Rattus norvegicus: one gene and its partner. The protein of the gene in region 1 interacts with the protein of each later gene in a pairwise test. Links are inferred from orthologs where the notes say so. Each region holds a gene or a part of one and is shown on either strand. Other genes may lie near its edges.

Region 1 (3,647 bases):
CTTATGTATCATAAGCACAGTGTTGTATAATTTCAGGCATTTCTAGTGACACCCATTTTTAAGGTTGGCCTAAGCAAAATACTTTAATAAATGATCCTTTAAATTAGCATCCTATTGTTGTCATTTTGCCTTATAACTTTGCATTAGCAAGAAGGAGATTTAATCAAGAGCCCTTTACTGTGTCTGGGATAGCTTTGCTGCCTGTTCTTTTGTTTGTTTGTGTTGTTTGTTTATTGTATTTATCTTATGTGATTTGCACTTTGCCGGTATCTGGGCAGTTATCTGCTGTGCCTGATGCTGAGGAAGTTAGGATCTCCTGACGGAGTTACAGAGGACTATGAGCCACCATGTAGGTGTTAAGAATGGAACCCAGGTCTTATGCTCTTGACTCCTGAGCCATCTCCCCATCCTGTCACCTAGCTTTAATTCCGTTATTCTCTGCAATCCTACCTTGTCCTTATATCAAAGATTAACTATGGATTTCTTGGTAAATAACAATATCTGTCTTAATTTTTAAGCTACTCTATAGCTATTATGAAAAGCATTAAAATATGTAGTAAAGAAAGAATATTTGATACTCAGCCTGCTTATATTGCAAGGATAAATTGCAGGCAGTTTCTCTTATTGTTTATGAATATTGCTGCATTTGTAAGTCTTAGACTACTGGAGTTCAGAGGGTGTCAGAGTGTGCCTAGATGTGAAATGGTCATGATTGCAACGTAGAAATCACTAATAAAACTTAAGGTTATTAGTGTTGGTATACTGATGACAGATGGTACATTTAAACGTATTCTTTTTTTAGTTATCCAAGCATTAGGGGAACATCTTAAATTAAGACAACAAGTTATTGCTACTGCTACAGTCTATTTCAAGAGATTCTATGCCAGGTATGGTTGTTTTATTTATTATTTTTAATGCCTGGTTGGAATTCTTTTCTAATTTCCATGTACAATATATAAAATAAGTAAATCACTTGTTTACTGTAGAATTATGATTCCCAAAGTCCACCCCCACCCCAGTGTGTTTTCTAAATAGTCATCATTTAACTCTTGTCTAATCATATTTTAGGTATTCTCTGAAAAGTATAGATCCTGTATTAATGGCTCCTACATGTGTGTTTCTGGCATCCAAAGTAGAGGTATAAAACAATTTTCTGTTCTTCATGAAAATATTGATATGTCTGGTTTATCATAGATAGATAGATAGATAGATAGATAGATAAATAGATAGATAAATAGATAGATAGATAGATATTGCTTTTGTATGGTTAATCATAGTTATCCTATGATAGTTTATAGGAACTAATATGCACATCTTGAAAATGTTTTTATTTTTTTAATAAATATTTTATGTATCAGATGATTTAATGAGCCCTTTGCAAGTTCTTTTTTTTTCTTTTTTTTTTCATCTTTATTAACTTGGGTATTTCTTATTTACATCTCTATTCCTTTGCAAGTTCTAATTCAATCCTGTAACTCTGGAGTATATGGCAGTAGTATCCATGTGGGGTCAAAGGACCAAAGACCCTGACCCTGGTTTGACCCTGAGATCAGGGCCAGGGAAAGAACACCTTGACTTGAGCCCAAGCAAGAAACCAAGGCCAAGAAAAAGAATCCTTCCAGTCCCTGAGTTTGCCCCAAGATCAGGCCCATGCTACCCTGGAAAACAATCCTGCCCCCCACCCTCAAATACAGCCTACCTTCTTAGGTTTCTGCTGCTTCTCCTCCTTACCCAAGCAGGGTTGCAAACACCTTCTCTTGTCATTCCCAATAAGTCTTTATGTGAACTTTGTTGTGCAGTGTGACTTTGTGGTATTCCTTGGCTCCTGACTGGGAAGATGCCTTTCCTTCAGAGATGCAACACTGGGGAAAGGAATCCCCTCAGAACTGTAGCATTTACAATTGTCATTTTAGAAATGAGGAAACTAGGGCATAGAGAGAGCAGTGTTCGTATACTGGGTCAGTGGTTCCAATAGTCTAGATCTTCATCCTGTAACTTAATTGCTTGCTGTCTTTAAAAGACTATTTATCTGAGTGTGGTGGTGCATGCCTTTAATCCCAGCACCTGGGAGGCAGAGGCAGGTGGATCTCTATGTATTCAAGGCCAGCTTGAACCACAGTGAATTCTAAGTTCCAAGATAGCCAGAGGTTTGTAGTAAGACCCAGTCTTAAAACAACCAAAAAAAAAAAAAAAAAAAAAAAAAAAAAAGAAAAGAAAAAAGAAAAAGAAAGAAAGAAAACAAAGGAGGTAGCACAGCTTATCTACTATGGCCTGAGAATGTCTCTGCTCCTCACCCACATGCTTTTTGTTTACACCTGACTTCTCTGGTAACAAGCCACTGTGGGAGAGCAAAAAGGTAGAAAAGACTTTATAGACTCCAGCAAGGAAGTGTGGATAGTGAGAGCAGAAAAGGTAAGTAAGAGAAGACAGAGAAGGACTTGGACTGGGAACTGCATTTCTGCTCAACTTACTGTTTGCAATATTATTGAGAAAGTGTAACTACCCCCTAAAGCCCAAATAGTAGCAGATTCTGAGAACTGGCTTTTTTCTTAGCTAATCCACACAATTCCTAGTCTATTGTTTCTGTTCTTAGGTAATGTCTTTAGGATAATTGTATCCATGTGAATTGAATGACTTTAACCAGTAAGTTTGTTTCTTTTGTGTTCATTTTATCTTAGAAACATTCATGACATCTTGATTATCTCTTAAGTATGCAGAATTGAATATATTAGAATACTAAAACCCTTTCTAGGAACCTAAGTTAACTCTGTCCATGAGAGAGATAAAGTTTGAATAAATCTAGTTATAAGTCAGTCTATAAACAAGTCAGTTATAGTGTTTACCTAGTTCCCATGAGGCCTGGTTTCAGTCCTGAGGACCAGATGTGTATCGAATGTCTTTTTGAATAAAGAGGTCTTGTAGATGAGGTGTATTTTTAGTTGTGGTTGTTGAGTTACTTTTTCTTAAAGTTTTTTTTTATACAATGTATTTTGACCATGTTTTCTCCCCTACCCTAGCTTCTCGCAGATCCTTTTCCCTACTCACCCAGCTTAGTGTTCATTTTCTGTGTCTCAAACAAAGCAAAAACTAAAACAAAAAACATAAGACAAATATCGAAACAAAGCCAGTAAGAAACAAAAAAGCCTTCAAAAAAAAAAAAAAATCAAGCAACCAAGGACAAAAGCCATGTAGTTAATTTTGTGTTGTCCAACTATTCCTGGGCCTGGGGACTGCTTTAGAGTGTGTTGATTTGACTAGGGTCACTCCATTGGACCTTTGCCAGTAGGTATCAATTCCAGGTAGCATTTTCATTTACCCTCTCAGTATGTTGCATTACATTTTAACTCTAACCAAATCTTTCTGTTTTGTCTAATTGATTAGAAATTGTGGGCAAAATCATGTTTAACATACTATCTTCAGTTTTGAGTTTTTAGTTTTAATTATTGGGTTTTGAAGGTTAAATATAAATATATGTGCGCACATAAAGTTATAGATTACGTTTTTGTTTTTTTTTTTTTTTTTTTTTGGTTCTTTTTTTCAGAGCTGGGGACCGAACCCAGGGCCTTGCGCTTCCTAGGCAAGCGCTCTACCACTGAGCTAAATCCCCAACCCCAGATTACATATTTTTAATAGAAGATATTTGGATA
Region 2 (4,296 bases), about 130 Mb from region 1:
AAAAAATTTTTAAAAAAGTAACTTTCAAAAAAATATAAAATGAAAATAATATATTACATCTAGGATTTCTAGCATTACAGGTATGTGCCAACATGCCCAGACTTTTTTTTTTTTTCCCCAGAACAGGGGATTGAATCCAGAACCTCATTCCTAAGCAAGCACTCTACCATTAAGATAAATCCCCTGCACAGGGAGTTATTACTGTTTAACAGAAAATCTACCTATCTCTTCTTGGGGGGAAAGGGAAGGACCAGAGTACTACATAAGCACTATTACCAGGACACACTCCCAAGCCGCAAAGTCTCAAAAAGCAAAGTTATTCTGAATAAATTAAGGAAATATGGAGACTTGTTAACAAAACCAAGACAAACCCTTTAACCACACACTACAGATTTAGGCCAGAAAGATTTAACTCACTGGCACCACCTAGTACTGAACAGAAGTGATGCATTTCCTTTGAGACTGCTGAAAAGGGCCAGTTGTCATCTGGAGTGGTAAATATTTATTCACGCTCACCGGGCTTCTAGTATTCTGTACTGTGTACGGAGCTGATGGGTCTCAAATTGTACAAATCGCCAACTGTTGGAGCTCTGGGTGTCATCAATTTGAGGAAAGCGAAGCTGTTATAGAGTTTACAGGAGGCTCAAACTTCAAACCTCCTAGGGGTGGAGTTGGCTAGAACAAGGTAAACTGTTACCGTTTTATTTGCTATGTCTGAACTTGGCCTACTGAGTCCAGAAAACTTCCCTTTAAGCAGACTGTAATTAAAATACATTCTCCATTCCTAGGAAGGTGCAGGAGAGGCCACAGAATCCCTGGACTGTGCCTCCTGTAGCTTTTGCTGAGGTTTCCTCTGGGTGAGGCCAAAGCACACTGCACTCAGGGCACGGCTTGAGGAAAACTGTCACAGAAGCACGAACAGGCAAGGGCAGAAAGCACACCTTCTCGGGGACGGAAGGGAGCAGCGCTCGGCCCAGGACCACCGGAACAAAAATAAACTGCCACGCTCGGGCGCCAGTCTCCTCCTCGCGGACGAACTCCAAGCTCCGGTCTGCAGGTCCCGCCAAGGCCGGGCTCCAGCAGGCCCAGTGGTCACCTGAGGTGGCGGGGAGTCCTACGCCTGCGAAACGCTTCTCGGTCCTCCCTGATGAGAAACAGGACAACCTCCTTCTGCTATGGCGTCCCCGCCGGCCGCCGGCTAACAGATCCCAGAATTTGGAACCAGGAGCCCCGCCTACCTGACGCCCTGGCCGGGCGGACCACATGGAGCGAGCACTTCCGCTGGACTCGCGCACTTCCGGCTTCGTGGGACCAATGAGAGCGCCGCTTCGGTGTTCCCTGCGCTGGCGTCCGGGCCGAGGTTGTCTCCTGGAGGACTAGGGCCGTTTGGCCTTCACGGCCTGGTAAGCACCCAACCCAAGGACCTAGGAGACGCACCTTTGGGACCGTTAGCCCGACGCCCCGTATTTTGTCAAGCAAGGGAGAATGCACAATGGCTGGACCTATAGAGACCTTCGTAACGGTCCCCGGGGCCAGGTCTTCATAGTCAACTCTTGCCCTTTAGTTCTTGGAACCAAAAAGTTGGTAAAATTTCCAGTGACTTTGATGCAGGTCAGTTCACCCTTTGGAGTGGCATGGGGTTTTCCTGTCTAGAGGCTTCTGGAGAGCAGGCGCCCATGAACTTAAAGGGAAGTGAGAGGCAATGTGGGAAAGCCGGCATTGAGACAGACTTTACCTCTTAATCATTTCCAAATTTGGGAAAGAGCATGCGCACACAGCCTTTGAGAACTAGGAAAGTAGCTGCTGAGTGGACTGTACTGAGTTGCCAGGGAACTGAGTGGAGATAGGGCTATGCCAGCTCTTTGGAACCCAGATCGTGAGTCCCAAATATCGGATATTGAATTACACTGTTGGATTCTGGGTTTGCTTTGTTGGGATCATTCCTATTCTCTGGTTTTTCCCATTTGGGATTAGAAAGTCTGAAACTTATTTTGTATTTTACAGGAGCTCATGACTAAAAGACTTGGACTTTGAGACTCAGAACTTTTAAAAGTTGAAATTTTTAAAGACTGAGAATTTGAAAGTTGGCTTATGCTTGATATTACAATGTTAACAGGAGACTTTGGAGACAAGGGATTGAAAGGTTATAGCTTATCGAGATGCCTTTGTGAGGTTAAAGATGGGGTGGGGGTGGGGATGGGGCTAAGAGTTCATAGATTACTTTTAACTGCTAACTGTCATAGCCTAGAGTCATCTGAAAGGAAAACCTTGATTGAAGAATTGTCCAGATCTGTGGCCATGTCTGTGTAAGGCTGTCCTGTAAATTGTTAGAGGAGGGCCCAGCCCACTGGGCGACACTATTCCTGGCAGGTGGTCCTGGGCTGTATTAGTTTGCTGGGTACTGGGCATTGGCACTATAGAGGCAGAGGCAGGATGATATCTGTGAGTTCAGGGCCAGACTGGTCTACAGAGTGAGTTCAAGCCAGGAGGCAGCATTCCTCAGTACTGTCTGCTTCATGTTTCTCCTAGAGCTGGTGCCCCAATTCCGTCAGTGATGGATTGACCTGGAAGTAAAGGGCAAAAGAACTTTTCCTCCCCAATTGCTTTTGGTCAGAGTGTTGTGTCACAGCAGCCGAGGGAGGCTCAGACTCACTTAGGTCAACTTATGTGTTCTACAAAATAATTGGCTGTAGTAATACGGAAGACTGTTGTAACCCACAAAGAGATTCTCCTTATCCAAAAATCTCCACAATGCAAAGAATGGATACATTGATCTTGTTGAATGTAAGGTCTCAACCACTGTTTCCATGTGAAACTTCACTTGGCTGAGATAAGTGATTTCTTTTGACTATGCCCACTTCGGCAGCTTTCGTCCACTCAGATACTAACGTCCCTGGTTTCTAGGAACTGAGGCTTATAGAAAGTCAATATAACAATCTCGACAGTACTGTGTAAATCCTCACTCTTCCTTCAGATGAATTTGTTTGTAATGGAGAGCCTGTGGTAGCAGTTGACCAGCTCACTTCCTCGCTCGGTATGAAACTTTCTTCCATGATGGCTGGTTTTGGCCTGCTTCCTATGTGGCCAAGGTGTGCAGCTGACATTTCATGTAGAAATGGCAGCTAGGAGATCATCTTCTGAGATGCTTGACGGTATGTGGCGGGTGCTGCTGGGGCAGACTCAGTCAGCCCAGGCGTGTAAATGAGGCATGAGACCAGCAGGACCCACAGGCAAGCTTCAGACTGTTGGCTTAGCATCTGACCTTGGGCAGGTCACTTTGGACAGCCAGATGAGCCCCATGCCAGAGAAAAGCACTGCAGGACAGAGCACAGAATCTAATAAGGTAGAGCAGAACTCAGGCAAGAAGGATGCTTTTAAAAACTTATTCCTAAAAGCTTAGACAAACAAGGACCGCATATATAAATGTTTGTTGATGGTGTTTCCCTGCAGTACTCTCTTATTCCCCTTCCCCATGAAAACCTTTCTTCCGAAGATATCCTGTCCTACTTCCATGACTTTGTTTTCTTTGTGGCTCAGAGGCTTTAATTAATGTTGCCTGCATAAGTGGGGGGAGGGGGCAGGTGAGCAAGAGCACCTTTCCAGTGCCTAAAACCAACGTGAAATCTGACTCCCTCTCTAGCAACCATTAACTGCCTATATGGAACACCTGGGGGGGGTGGCCTTATGAGCCCCTCCTCTACACATGATGATGGAATGTTGAGTGGCCCAGTCCTGTGCAAGTCCTATGCAGCTAACTACTGCTGCTGTGGAAGATTTGTGACACAGGGTCTCTCTCTTACATAGTTCCTAGAACTCATTGGGCTAGCCTCTGACTCACAGGAAACCACCTGTCTCCATCTCTGCCTCCTGAGTGTTAGAGTCTCATGTTTCTCAGGTGGGCCGGGAACAGGTTGAACTCCTGATCCTCCTCCTGCTTCCTCCTCTGGAGTATCTGGGATTACCAGCCTGGGTGCCACCACCTGGGCATAGGCAGTGCTGGTGTCTGAGCGCAGGACTCTGCTGTGCTGGGCCAGCACTCCCCACGGGCTGCATCCCAGGAAACCTCTTTCTATCCCATCCAAAGCCTCCTTTCCCCTCTCTAACACTCTGTCTCTGAGAGTTCTGCAGTAAGAGGAGCTGGGGCTCCTTACATAAACCGAGGTCATGCCATGTCTTCGCTTGAGGGGTGTGCAAGCATCTGACCTGGGTGGGGGCTTGGGAAGTGTTTTTACTCACCCGTGGATACCAGGCTACCCACTGACAGCAGCACGGATAAGTAGTAAAGTTCAGGGGTGG

Evidence for each region.
Region 2: the proteins of Ccnc (region 1) and Nmnat1 interact in binary tests that used the Homo sapiens proteins (3 or more experiments, as listed by UniProt). The two-hybrid records come from large-scale screens. The link is inferred for Rattus norvegicus from reciprocal best matches to the Homo sapiens genes CCNC and NMNAT1.

The regions. Positions count from the first base shown.
Region 1 is NC_086023.1:40,066,566-40,070,212, forward strand, and holds part of Ccnc (cyclin-C), read left to right. Parts: intron 1-802; coding exon 803-887; intron 888-1,068; coding exon 1,069-1,138; intron 1,139-2,593; exon of another isoform or gene 2,594-2,643; intron 2,644-3,647. UniProt on the Homo sapiens protein: Component of the Mediator complex, a coactivator involved in regulated gene transcription of nearly all RNA polymerase II-dependent genes.
Region 2 is NC_086023.1:165,208,281-165,212,576, reverse strand, and holds the start of Nmnat1 (nicotinamide/nicotinic acid mononucleotide adenylyltransferase 1), read left to right. Parts: upstream 1-1,363; 5' UTR 1,364-1,403; exon of another isoform or gene 1,404-1,508; intron 1,509-1,703; exon of another isoform or gene 1,704-1,851; coding exon of another isoform or gene 1,852-1,876; intron 1,877-3,015; exon of another isoform or gene 3,016-3,115; coding exon of another isoform or gene 3,116-3,152; intron 3,153-4,296.